Linked DNA regions of Caenorhabditis elegans. The protein of the gene in region 2 purifies or fractionates together with the protein of the main gene of each other region. This does not show direct contact. Each region holds a gene or a part of one and is shown on either strand. Other genes may lie near its edges.

Region 1 (5,691 bases), on a different chromosome or scaffold from region 2:
GTGTAAAAGGTTAGCAAAAGGTTTCTTATACTAGACTGCATTCCAGCTACTGGTCTTATCCCGAACAACGCTTCCACTTCATTATCACCATTCCCGCGCACTTTCCCCGGTGTTATTTACTTTTTTCTCAACGATCAGGTTTATATACATATTTTTTAAAGTTTCGTTAATGTTAATCGCTTAACATATTGCATTTGATGCTCATTGGTCGACAAAAGTTTTGCAAGTAGTGTACATTACTCAACAAATATTATTTGTTTGTTGTTTTTCTTTTTGACTAATTAATTCCTCTGGAAGTTTTCTCCGCTGAGTAGCAAGAAATTAATTTACTCTCTCAGCAGAATGATTATGGAATTATGGAATTTTCAGCGTTATTACTCGAGATAAACATGTGTCAAAACAGAGATCTAACGAAAGCCGGATCCCATGTGATTTTCAATTCTTGTTATTCACACATGCACCTTAGTTGTTCCAGACCATTCCCACATATCAAAACAGAATATACTATATTATTCATTTTTTGATAACCTGTAACAGAGAGTCATAATCATAAACAACTGGATGAATAGAAACCACTTGGTTCTGGTGTTCACTGGGGGAGAAGGTAGGGAAGGGGAATTAAATTAATTGGGTTGCGTCCCGGTTATCGTTCATAAATACTGCTGATAAGGATCTTGGTAATAAATAAATAAAAAGTGTCTTGGTCTCAGAGTGTGATTCTAGTTTGGATCGTAGCACAAAGCAACTCTCGGTAGGGATCTCGATTGTCTCGGACTCGAACCATCATTTGGTAGGCGGACTGAAAAATTGAAGTATACTGAAGAAGTGGATTTCTTTTTAATATTTCAATTTAAGAAAAAAAAACGTATTTGCTAAGCGTCCGTCAACGGCTCTCCAGTACAATAGCCATCGCGTTTACCTTATGGTCAGTACCCACCAAGTCATAGTGAATCATTCGGAACAGATTCGTAAACAACTTTGTTGGATCAATCTCGAATTCGATAACCTGACGTCCCGGAGTCACCGGACATGACGGGTTGTCGTCACACATATCATAGTTGCTCCTTAAAAAAACATTCAATGTTTTTCGGTGTTCTGCAAAGAAAACAACTTACAACAGCCCAAAGCTTGGTAAAAACATCCACCCACATCCGAACCATCCGGTTGAACGTTTAAAGATTGACACTTCGACGCCCAAATTGTCATATCGTTTGTTAGAATTACTGGTGATGTCGAGGAAAATTCGAATAGGCGAGTTGAAGGAAACCGGGTAGGTATCATCACCGTTGCCGTTTGTAATTGCACCGCCGTGAAGTTCAAACTTTGTGTCTACAATTTTTGGTATTTAGGGCTCTGTTTTACTAGAAGTACTGTACCTTCTTTACACTGGAAAAACGACGGACGAACTCGTGTTCGATTCGGAAGAGCAACGCATTCTTCTTCTTGTTCTAGAGAAGAATCTGCCATAAGGTATGGAGCATCCGGTGCAACTTCAGGGTCATCAGTGTTATCTTCGTTCGAGCCAGCTACTTCTGCAGCTTGATTACTGGCATCTTGATGGCTACCAAAGTTTTTGAAAGATCGAAAACGAGCAGGCTAAAAAATAAACTAAATCAAAACAAACACAAGTAAACAAAAAAATACCACTTCTTTTTTAATTTCAGCGCTATCTTGCTCAAATTCTTCTAAACTTGCAAAAACAAAAGGGAATATTAAGAATAGTAGAATAAAACGGAAATTCATCGTTAACAGAATTTTTGTTGAAATCTTCACTTGGAAACTTTTTTGGAACTGGCCGCAACCTGGGTGTATCGAATGTTTAGAATAAAACACAGATGAGTGCAAATTGAATAGAGCACTCGACGCACGAAAAGGTGCGGGTTGGTTTTTGAATTGCCTCAGGTGCTAGCGGGAGGTCGACGGGTGCGCTCTGTTCTGCTGTTTTCTGTGCTTTATATACCTGACCGTCTTTTTTTGTAGAGCGCCCAACATGTGGGGCGTTCTTGAAAGTCCGACAAAAACGCGATTCGCACCTGGTTCCAAAGCTCCGCCAAATCACTCGAGAGCCCGCATTTGTCGCTCGATCAATTTCTAATTAGAGCAAATGGTGAAGCACTCGAGATTGCCATTTTTGGCATTTGAAGATTTGCTCATTGCTTTCTAGACGGCTCTCTTCCTCACTCTTGACAAGTTTTTATCAGACACTCGTCACAGAAATGGTCTGCTTATTTCCATGGGACAGTGCAAACACAGAGCACAAAATAAAAACAGAAAAATAACAGAGTTTCTTTATTGGAAAAAAATGAGGGGGATGGAGAAAAGAATAGCTTGCATGAAATACATGTTTCGATTAGAATCATGAAAGTCAGAAAAAAACCACAGAACAAAATTGCTGATATTACCAAAGAAAAATTAAATTCGACACATATAAAGCTACACGATGTGGACGATGCGATCACTGGGCCAAAACCGAAATGATCTTAGATCATGGTATGAACAAGGAATTATTGTGCTCAATGGAATGATGGAATAAAAAGTGAAATAAAAACAATCTCGATTCCCTTTGAAAAGGTGACATTGAACAATTGAATTGCTATAAAATGATGTGAAAGTGAAACAAGTTATGATTTGAATATTTAGAAAACATGGAAATTTAATGAAACTTTAACTATTATCCGTATACGATGACTGATCATCGATTGCATGGGCCAATGCAGCCGCCCGAAGGGAGTCAAAATTTTCAGCCCCTGATTGAGCAGCCATTCTTGAAAACAGCGAGCTCTGATCATCCAGCAAAGTGATCGGTTTGTCAAACTCGACGAGCTCTCCTTTTTCAAACACCTGCAAGTTGCGAACCTAGGCATTGTTTGCTTGTTGAGAAACCACTTACCATTACATTATCGCTGTTCATAATGGTGTGAAGACGGTGGGCCACCGTGATGATTGTGGCGTTTTTGAAAAAGTCTCGAATTGTTTTCTGGATGCAAGCATCTGTCACTCCATCAACATTTGCGGTTGCTTCATCAATAACAAGAATTTTGGATCGGTGGATCATTGCTCGGGCAAGACAGAAAAGTTGACGCTGACCGACAGACAGGCTGACTCCCCGTTGGCCCAATTCGACGTTCAATCCTTTTTCTTTTGTGATGGAACGTTTAAGCTCACACTGAAAATTTTTTCAACGATTATCCTACAGAATCTATTAAAAATTTCGATTTCATATGAATTTCGGAATCTCGTATTAAATTAGACCGTTGGATCAGATTTAGGCACACATAGGACAAAACTAGGGCTACGGTGAGGTGAAGTTTGAACTTGGTTAAAATATGAGAAAAAGTTGGATCAGACTTGGGAGGGGTCATGTCCAAGTCTTCCTCAAGTCTTGCTTATGTCTTGTCCAAGTCTTGCTCAATCTTTGCCCAGTCAACATTTTACTTTTTCAATAAAATTTGTAAAGCCAATGGTGTTAAAACAAGATTATAGGGGCCATAAAAATGGCTTATAAAAATTTCATTCTCACATGTTATTCTTCAATAAATTAAAGCCATACCTGCTCTAACGCAAACCAAATAGTAGCATCATCATACTCATCGAACGGGTCCAAATTCTCCCGGACCGTTCCTGAAAAGATTACGGGCTCCTGCGGAATGATAGACATTCCTCCTCTTCTGAAGTTAAGACTAATGTGATCCAGATCCACACCGTCGATAGTGACACGTCCAGAGCAGTACTCTTTCAGTCCAAAAATAATTTTAATGAGTGTTGATTTACCAGCACCAGTTCGGCCGACGACTCCAATCTAAGTTTCAGAAGTAATACTCTGAACAAAAAGTTAGTAACTCACCTTTTGTCCACCTAAAACAACAAAGCTAAGATTTTTGAGTACTTTGGTCTCCCCATAATTGACAGATACATTTTCAAACTCGATTTCTCCTTTCGTTGGCCAAGAGTTCAGTAGCTGTTTATCGAGGTATGCATCATGTGGTCTTCTGGCTTCTTCTTCAGATTTCAATTTGGTGTACTCTAGCACTCGTTCCACGGAAACCATCTGCAAATCGACAGTTTGAATTCAATCCGCATACTACTATGTTTGTATTGTCTTCATTTGCAACATTTGCTGTGTTCACATTGTATTCATTTAGAATAAAAGACCGAATTGAGAGTTTCGGGTGGGTCGCTCATTTGGCGCCACCATGACAAACATTCCATTTGTGTTTGTTGTGATGTGTGTGTGTGTGTGTGTGTGGAAAATGCGACAAACCACTTCAATCGTCTGATCAGGGCAGTTCGCGCTTGAGCATTGTCCAAAACTCTTTATAATCATGATGTTTCGCCAACCGCATAGTGAGCTCAATTCGACCTTTGATGGCGGAGCAGGAGGAGGAGAAGGGGGAGCAAATTGGAGGAATCTCCCGCGATAAAAAAAGAAACAAGCAAAAAATAAACTCACCCCGTTCTCCAGCTCGGCGCTTTGCCGCATGATCCACGAGAAGAATCCACTCAACTGAACCGCGCACACAAGGCACAATCCGACTTCTCCGACGGTCAGGGTTTCTAAAAATCTCGGAGTGTTGTTTTGAAATAAGATACGATGGACGCGGTGGATAAACGTTACTGTGTTGACTTACCATATTGAAGAACAACAACAATCGCCACAATGGAAACGAAAACAGACACCAAAAAGTCGATGCAAATTCCGAACCAACGGGCGGACAAAAGTCCCATGTTGTACGCGGCCATATAAACATCCTGTGAAAAGGTCAAATTTTAAAATAGTTCGTTCGAGAAATGGGCTCTGGCGTTAGGGAGGGGGGTCTTACCTAGGTGTTTTTAGGGGGTATTTCCTATAGGGTGGGTCTTAGAGGATCTTTTCTAGGTTGTCGTTTCCACTCTTCTAGGAGATTTTAGGGGTTCTTCTTTCTAAGAAAAATTCTTAGGGTTTTTCCGAGTAGTGTTTTAGGATAGGATGTCGTTCTTGTAGTCACTAATGGCCTTGAGCAACGTTAAAATCAGCTAAATTTAGTATTCCGATCAGGGATGTGCGGCGAAAAAACCTTTGACTTGCTCTGAGCTCAATCGGGCTCGACTTAACATAGATTAGTAAATTTTTAACATTCTCAAAAGTTTGGCAATATATTAAAATTGTACTTTGTAAAATAAAATGTATTCGAAACTTACATGAAGAGCGCAAAACTTTTCAATCATCTCGTTTTCTTTTCGGTATGCTCGAATAGTCGACAAACCATGGACAGTAGATGTAATAGTAGTGTTCAGTGGAGACCGAGCTGAAATATTCAAAACTGTTTTGTTTTCAAGAACCGCGAAGTAATGCTTACCGGCTGCCTCAATTCTCTTCAATTCCCGTGAACGATGAACGTACATTTTCCTACAGAAGTAGAACCCTGCAGTTATGAACGCGCAGGCAAGAATGACAATAGGTCTGACCATGGAGACTAATCCAACTATTCCCACAAATGTCAACGTACCCTGTAAACAAAGTTGAAGTTTGTTAAGATAATCAATAAATTATTGATAAACTTACAAAAACAAATTCAAAGTACGTGAACGCAAGCAAGTCATCAGTGAGGCCTATGTCTTTTGAAAAGCGATTCAGAATCATTCCTAAAACCAACAATGTTCTAAAGACCCTAGCCTGCCTAGACCCTAGCCTTACCTTCAGAATTTTTGTCG
Region 2 (7,611 bases):
ATCTCCTTATTGTCCTTCCAAACGACCCGATGAACCTAAACCGATTTTCTCGTTTTTATCTCTCTCTCTGTTTGTTTTTTGTACTTTCCCTCTCATTTATTGAAAAGTGAAAGTTCTCGAAGGACACTGACACTCTCAGCAAAACGTTCTGATATTGTTAAAATTGATTAAAAAAATGATAACATACTGAACGGTTCCTTCGTTCAAAAAATCAATTTTAAAATCTTCCTGGTTCAACATTTTCAGGTTGTGTAAATCGCGATTTTTTGTAAGATTGGTAGCGTTTGAAACGCTAAAACCTCAAAAATTGGCAGCTATGGGTGTCGAAATGAGGGAAAGATGAACATGGGTGATTTCGTTCCGTTTGAAGAATAAAAAGCGAAAAAAGAGACGATCACAAATCGCGCTCATTGATTTACTGGCCGCTAAGCGAGATGTGACTAGCAACATTTTAAAGAGAGAGAGAGAGAGGGGATTGGATTGATAGAGTTGCTTTCTTAGGTACGTGAGAAATTTTAAGGAACAAGTGCAAGCTTGAGATAAGATTCTAGAGATTCTAAAGATTCTACAGAAGACACAAACGTTTCGAGCTGCCGGAACTAGTTTAATAGGGATTATGTTTAAAACTCAAAAAATACAGAAGAACGAAATGGCATAATAAAATACATACGTTTTAGATTCTTGAAAATTTCCAGTTAAAGTTTTGGAAAGTTTTTAGTCACAGTTTTGGTTAATAAATCAATTAACCAACACTTTGTGCTCACTGAAAAATTTAAAGCAATTTTACATGCTTTAACACCTACAGTTTACTAATCCAAGTAATTCGAAAAAAATTAGAGTATATGTACAACTCGTAGAAAAACTAGTTTTTTTAATAGGCTTCCAAACTTATGAGTGGTGACATTGAGTAATCTAGACTTTATCACTGCAAATAGAAAATTAATTGTTTATTTTAGAACCATTGGAATGATTTTCTACAAGTTCCGGCTCTTCTCCCCTTTGAAACTTTGCGGTTTCGCATAAGGCGGTGCTCGTACGTATTTCGGTCTAGATTGATCTCGCTATAAAATAGTTGACGAACTTTAGATTGAAGTATATTTATTTTTGCATTTTTTATTCAATTGGCATTTTTTCTAAAACATAATTTTTATGACAAGAAAAACTTGGAAATATTCCAGGCAATTCAGACAATAGCTCAATCGGACCCTTTTTTGAAATTTTGTACCTCCATAATAAACTTTAGCGAACAACTGGAGCTTCTAAATTTTCAGATAAAAATTTCCACATTCGCAGAAATCGGGCGTTGAAAAAAGTTACAGATTCCGGAAGATCAAGAAGTCAGTACTAGTTCCTTACTATTTTAAACATTTCTAGTAAATAGTATCTCTATTCCAACTTGCTAGAAACTGAAATCATAATTTTTAACAATCAAAATGTTGTCTTTTGCAGATCCGAATACGTGTAATGTTCAATTACAACATTCGTTAAGTGTCTAGATATTTCAGAAATATCTGTACACAAACCTGAAAGGTTGCCAAAAATTGCCAAAAGTAGTGCCAGCTTGTAATTTTTCGGAGAATTCAAGACAAGCTTAAACTATATATCAAGGCTAACTAACTAACCCAACGAGTAGGTGTTTTGTTTAAAATTTTCAATATGGGTTTTTACAAAAACTAGCCTAAATTCTTTGTCGATATAAAAACAGGATAGATACTAAAAAATATGTTATATTTCAAGTGGGCACAACTGTAAAAATTGACACTAACTTCCCATTAATTATTCAAAAATTCTCCTCATTTTTCATTCTGCCAATGAAAAGCGATATCAATCAAGCCGCAAATAACCGTTTTCTCAAAAAAGAACCATAACCAATGACAGGGCTTTCTTCATCTTCTTCTTTCATCATTCTTCCATTTTCCAACGTTTCCTGAAAACGAGAGACGTGAGAAACTTGCTAATAAACTGCTGCCTGTTGTGGTGTGGTACTTGGTGAGGTCTCTCGTCCGTCCGACGATGAAAAACGAAAAAGTGATGGAAAAAGAGAGAAAAGGATTGAAAATGAAAATGAGTGAGACAGAAATGGAATGAGAATAAAAAGTTAATGATATCTGAAAACAAGGTATAGTCATACCAGCAAGAGTAAATTTCCAAAAAAATAGTTTCACAAAAATGTGAATGTTCACTTTTTTGCTATATTCACGATAATAACAATTAATCAAAAATTCTACTAATATCGCAGATTTGAAAAAATTGAATTGCAAAACGGATAAACTTGCCAGCAAAAGTGGAAGCCTCGGTGGTCAACTTAATTTTCTAAACCCACTAAATTGCGTAACTTCAAGCTGCCGTATCTGGAAAAATACAAGTCTTGAGCAAAAATTGCTAACTAACAAAATGATTCAAAATATTTTTACTTTTATTTGCATTACTTTTCACTGCAAAAAACTAATTATTTGCAGAGTTGCACAGAGAATTTTTAGGTCGTTTCAGAGAAGAAATCACTTAAAATGAACATGAAATTCGTAAATAGCGTGTTCTCAGCTTTCTAAAAATATTTTTTTCGACCCAAAAATCGCAATTTCATTTTTCCGCTCATTTTTCGAAAAGCAAAAGTCCCATTTCTTATTTTGGAGCGGAGGACGATTTTGGAGATGAGCCCACATTTTTGAAAGATTTTCTAGGACATTGTAGAAACCTCAAAAAAATGATCATTTTTCAAAATTTCAAGTCGATACGTTGGATATGAAGATTTTTATGACGGAGATTGGATTTTTTCAGAAAACGGTCTATAACTTGGCGGAACATGAAAATATCGAAAAACTTAAAACGGATAAAATGTGGAGAAATATTTTTCACTTACTACTTAACAAAATTTATCTTTTGAAATTCAATGAATATTGAGTTATAAAGGGTACAACAAAAGAGTTCTCAAATTTTTCTTTGAATTTTGGAAAAATGGCTTTGACTCTGTGTAACTCTACAAAAAGTTGTTGATATACAAATTAATGTAATAGAAAGAACAAATGTTTCTGATCATTTTGTTAGTTAAAAATTGTTTTTCAGACTTGTATTTTTCGAGATACGCCAGTTTGAAGATGCTCAGTTTAGCGATTTTAGGAAGTTATTTGGTCCGTTGAGTGTGATGTATACCAAGATTGGAACTTTGAAAATATGAAAGTATAGGAAAAGAAATGCAACTCTAAGGCACTTCAGGTGTGAGCGGCAAATGTTTTTTTACGGCAAAAAAACGGGAAACCGGCAATAACGGTAAACCGGCATTTTGCCGGAAATCAGAAATTACCAAAATTTCAGAATTTCAATTTTAATCGGCGAAATTGTACGCATCCTATAAATGTTCCTAAATCTATTTTAATAAGTAAGCAATTATGTGTTTTTTTCTTAATTTCAGGTCTTTCCAAAAAAGAAATTATCAAGAATTGACATGATATCAAGAAGTAACAGACTGTATATTCCCCATAAAGCTTTAAAATTAATTATCCTCTCAAAGCCTTTTTGATTTCTGAAATCACGGTTGATCATACTATAGTCAATCTTGAAAGTGATCCGAAAAACGCTGTGCTCTCAAGTTTTGGTTTTGTCATCAAATATCTTCAGTCATATATTGAAAAGTAAATAATGATAGTAGAGCACACAAAAAATGATAAGAATAACCCAGTATTTGATGATAATTCACATTCATTTTGTAGGAAAAAATTTCACGAAATGGTTCACTACAAGCTCGTCTACTTCCCATTAAGAGCCCGTGCTGAAATTGCTCGACAAATCTTTGCCTATGCAGGACAGGATTATTCCGAGGAGAATCTGAGCTTTGAACAATGGCCAGCACGCAAAAATAGTGAGTTTATACACTTTTGGCAAAGATAAATGGTTTCAAAACTTGAAAACTACGTTTCATACATTTCGGTATTTGTTTATTTTTTAAATTGTAGATAATTGCAAACAAAAGTTCTCTAACTTTTCACATCCGAACTAGAACAGTATTCCATGATTCAATACTTTAAAAAAATCACTTTGCAAATTGGGATTATGCTTCTGATTGTTTTTTTTATTTCCTGATTTAGGGTGATCAGTCAGAAGTTCAGAAAAAAGGTTGTAGGTACGAGGAAAACTTGATGCTTGAAACTTTTTATGGAATTGTGCTTTCTGACAACATCTTGGACACTGTGGAAAAGTCGCTCCTGGAGATCGAACTAATCCGAAAAATTTTCTAAGACCTTCATACTTTTTTAAAATTAAGATTAGATTTTATTTTAAAACACTTCTCCTCAAATTTCAAATTTCTAGACACTCCATTCGGTCAATTGCCAATTTTGGAAGTCGATGGAAAACCATTGGGACAGTCATATGCAATTGCTCGGTACTTGGCCAGAGAGTTCGGAATTGCTGGACAAAATGACACCGAGGCGGCAGAAGTGGATGCAATTGCTGATCAATTCAAGGATTATCTCAACGATGTCTCCCCATATTTAACAGTTCTTGCTGGATTCAAACCTGGAGACAAGGATCAACTGAGAACTGATGTTTTTGTTCCAGCTTTCAAAAAGAATTTCGAGTTTTTCGAGAACATTCTGGCATCTAATCACAGTGGTTTCTTTGTTGGAAACTCTTTGACATGGGTGGATCTTTTGATTTCGCAGCACGTTCAAGATATTTTGGATAAAGATTTGGCAGTTGTTGAGGAGTTCAAGAAGGTTTTGGCACATCGTAAGAAGGTTCAGAGCATCGACAGAATTCAGAAGTATATTGCAAACCGTCCAGATTACCCATTCTAAATTGAAATGAGTTTGCAATTTTGTATTATTTTTTAATTCATATTTCAAGAAGCAATTTTTTGCTAATTTGTTTTAATGGAAATCGATGTTTCTAAAATATCTTGAATGAATTGTTCTTTTAAAAATTTTATGGTAAAGTTTTCAGCAGGATGTTTCTATAGAAGCTTTTTGCATTGCAAGAGTGTTGAAATATACAGGATATTTACAAAAGCCTGGGAAGTAGGCATGCTTTTAGGTACAAATCAGACCTACACCGCCTTCCTTTGTGGTTTACCATCATAGCTAAAACTTTCCGAACATTCCCTGGTGAGACACAATGTTCAAAGCACAAAACCAATCACGTCATAATGTTAATTTGACTTTTATTGTCAAAAATTACAAAAGCGTCGTTTTCTGGAACATGAACATAATAAGAATTTTCAAATTTCGGTGGGCACAATAAATATGTAATCTTTTATTTATTTTTGGAGGATAGTCTTTTCAAAGGCAGGTGTATAACCCTCAAAAGAAAGCACGTTTGTGTTTCAAAGTGAGACTTAAATTATTTCAAAGACAAATTCCATAGGAAATCATTGTTCATCAGGCACCTTCCCAGAAATTAGGCTGTAGGCAGGCACGTAGGCTGCGGTAAATGCCTACGCCTCTTTTGCGCGAGATTATGAAATTGTGTTGTACTGTCGGAAAAATTTCAGAAACAAAAAAAAATATTTTTTGTGACTTTTTGTGTCAGTTATAGTAGTTTCTTATCATGGTATCTTCAATAATAATGGCAAGCGTAACAAGATGATTGATGCCATGGGTTTATATTTGTGAGTAGTCACAAATTGTGACACAACATTCCCTTCGAAAGATCTGGAAAAGTCACAAAACCTTGCATATATTTTTTTCAACCAATATTATTTTGACCTACTCTGTTCATCGTAACATTGCAACAACAAAAAACGATGACTACACTTTATGATTTCTAGTCAACAACGTGCGCGCAATGTGTAGAGCAAATGATGACAAACTACAGAATATGGTGAGTGGAGAGACGACAGACATTTGAGAAATGGGTATAAATAGAGACGGCCGGCATTCAGTGTTCAACCCTTCTCATCGACCACTCGATTTCTTGCTTGGTTATTTCAACAATGGTCCACTACAAGGTATCGTACTTCCCAATTCGTGGAGCTGGAGAGATTGCTCGTCAGATCTTGGCCTACGCTGGACAAGACTTCGAGGACAACAGAATCCCAAAGGAGGAATGGCCAGCTGTCAAGCCAAGTGAGTTTGGGATTGAAAATTATTGTTTGAATAGGTGCATAGATATTGAAATTGTTAGTTGAAATCTTATAAGTAGTTCCAAATTAAAAATTCATTTTAGAAATAGTTGCAGGCTTTTAGTTAAGCTGTCTTTGGTTTTATCAAAAAAATTTTGACTGACAAAATACGTGAAGAATATACTTTTAAATATTGTCAGTTAAACATTTTTTGATAAAAGTTAAGAGAACCGAGATGTAAGCCGTTAAAGTAGCAGGTACGGTATATTCCTTACCTTTCCTGTTCCTATTAACTAGGTCACACAAATTGCCTTTTTGCCTTTAGAGTAGATTGAAGTTGTTATTGAGTTACTTTTTGAAAGTTATTGAAATTTCGGTGTTCGAATGAATAGACCTTGAAAAAGGAAAAAAAAATTCAAGGCTAAACTCTAGGCAGTTTGACACCTAGAGATGTAAACAAAGTGCTTGGTATGACTGAGAGATAGAAGTTTGGAGTCAATGATTGTTTACTCAAAGAAAACTTTGAACTTTAGGTTTTAATTATATTATTTTTCAGGCACTCCATTCGGACAGCTTCCACTCCTTGAAGTTGACGGAAAGGTTCTTGCCCAATCTCATGCTATCGCCCGTTACTTGGCTCGTCAGTTCGGAATCAATGGAAAGTGTGCATGGGAGGAGGCTCAAGTCAACTCGGTTGCTGATCAATTCAAGGATTACCTCAACGAAGTTCGTCCATACTTCATGGTGAAGATGGGATTTGCTGAAGGAGATCTCGATGCTCTTGCCAAGGACGTCTTCCTTCCAGGATTCAAGAAGCACTATGGATTCTTTGCTAACTTCCTCAAGTCGGCTGGATCCGGATACTTGGTTGGAGACTCTTTGACCTTTGTCGACTTGCTCGTCGCTCAGCACACTGCTGATCTTCTGGCTGCCAACGCAGCTCTTCTCGATGAATTCCCACAATTCAAGGCTCATCAGGAAAAGGTTCACTCGAATGCCAACATCAAGAAGTGGTTGGAGACTCGTCCAGTTACTCCATTCTAAATGATTTCCAAATTCACATGGTCTCTTTATGTATTTTTGTATTGATATGGGATAAATGATTGCATTGAAATCTATTTATTCTGAAAAGTTCTCTAAAAAATAAGATAGCAGAAGCAACCGATATATTTGTTCAGACATCCGAATCATCATGAAAAGGCACTTTTTGAACTGAGTTGTCAGTAACATCTGCGCAGTGGGAAGAGTAAATGATGACAAACTTTAAAGTTTCCAATATACTCTTTATTTTAATGTACATTTATCTAATTCAACCAGTTCATTGAAACAGACATAACGCCAAACTATATTTGTGGTTTGTTGTCAGCAGAGTGCGATCAAAGCAGTGATGACTTAACAGTACACACACACTTAGAGAATATGAGTATAAATAGAAACTTCTTGGTTTTTATTTCAAACTGTATCACAGACTTGTACTCCCCAATTACTTGAAAAGTGGTAGTAATAATGGTCCACTACAAGCTATCATATTTCCCCATCCGTGGAGCTGGAGAGGT

What was found. The genes of interacting proteins can lie anywhere in the genome.
Region 1: the proteins of gst-6 (region 2) and ZK470.6 fractionate together in Caenorhabditis elegans (co-fractionation; one large-scale study listed by BioGRID). This does not show direct contact.

Annotation. Positions count from the first base shown.
Region 1 is NC_003284.9:4,175,565-4,181,255, forward strand, and holds ZK470.6 (MD-2-related lipid-recognition domain-containing protein), read right to left. Parts: upstream 1,744-5,691; coding exon 1,645-1,743; intron 1,597-1,644; coding exon 1,377-1,596; intron 1,330-1,376; coding exon 1,116-1,329; intron 1,065-1,115; coding exon 920-1,064; intron 800-919; coding exon 707-799; 3' UTR 501-706; downstream 1-500. Other genes in the region: mrp-6 (Multidrug resistance-associated protein lethal(2)03659), read right to left, coding at 2,665-2,841, 2,891-3,166, 3,551-3,799, 3,845-4,048, 4,451-4,554, 4,629-4,749, 5,179-5,285, 5,337-5,487 and 2 more.
Region 2 is NC_003280.10:4,876,193-4,883,803, forward strand, and holds gst-6 (putative glutathione S-transferase 6), read left to right. Parts: upstream 1-3,698; 5' UTR 3,699-3,723; coding exon 3,724-3,856; intron 3,857-4,305; coding exon 4,306-4,793; 3' UTR 4,794-4,913; downstream 4,914-7,611. Other genes in the region: gst-7 (putative glutathione S-transferase 7), read left to right, coding at 5,927-6,059, 6,612-7,099; gst-8 (putative glutathione S-transferase 8), read left to right, coding at 7,562-7,611. UniProt on the Caenorhabditis elegans protein: Conjugation of reduced glutathione to a wide number of exogenous and endogenous hydrophobic electrophiles.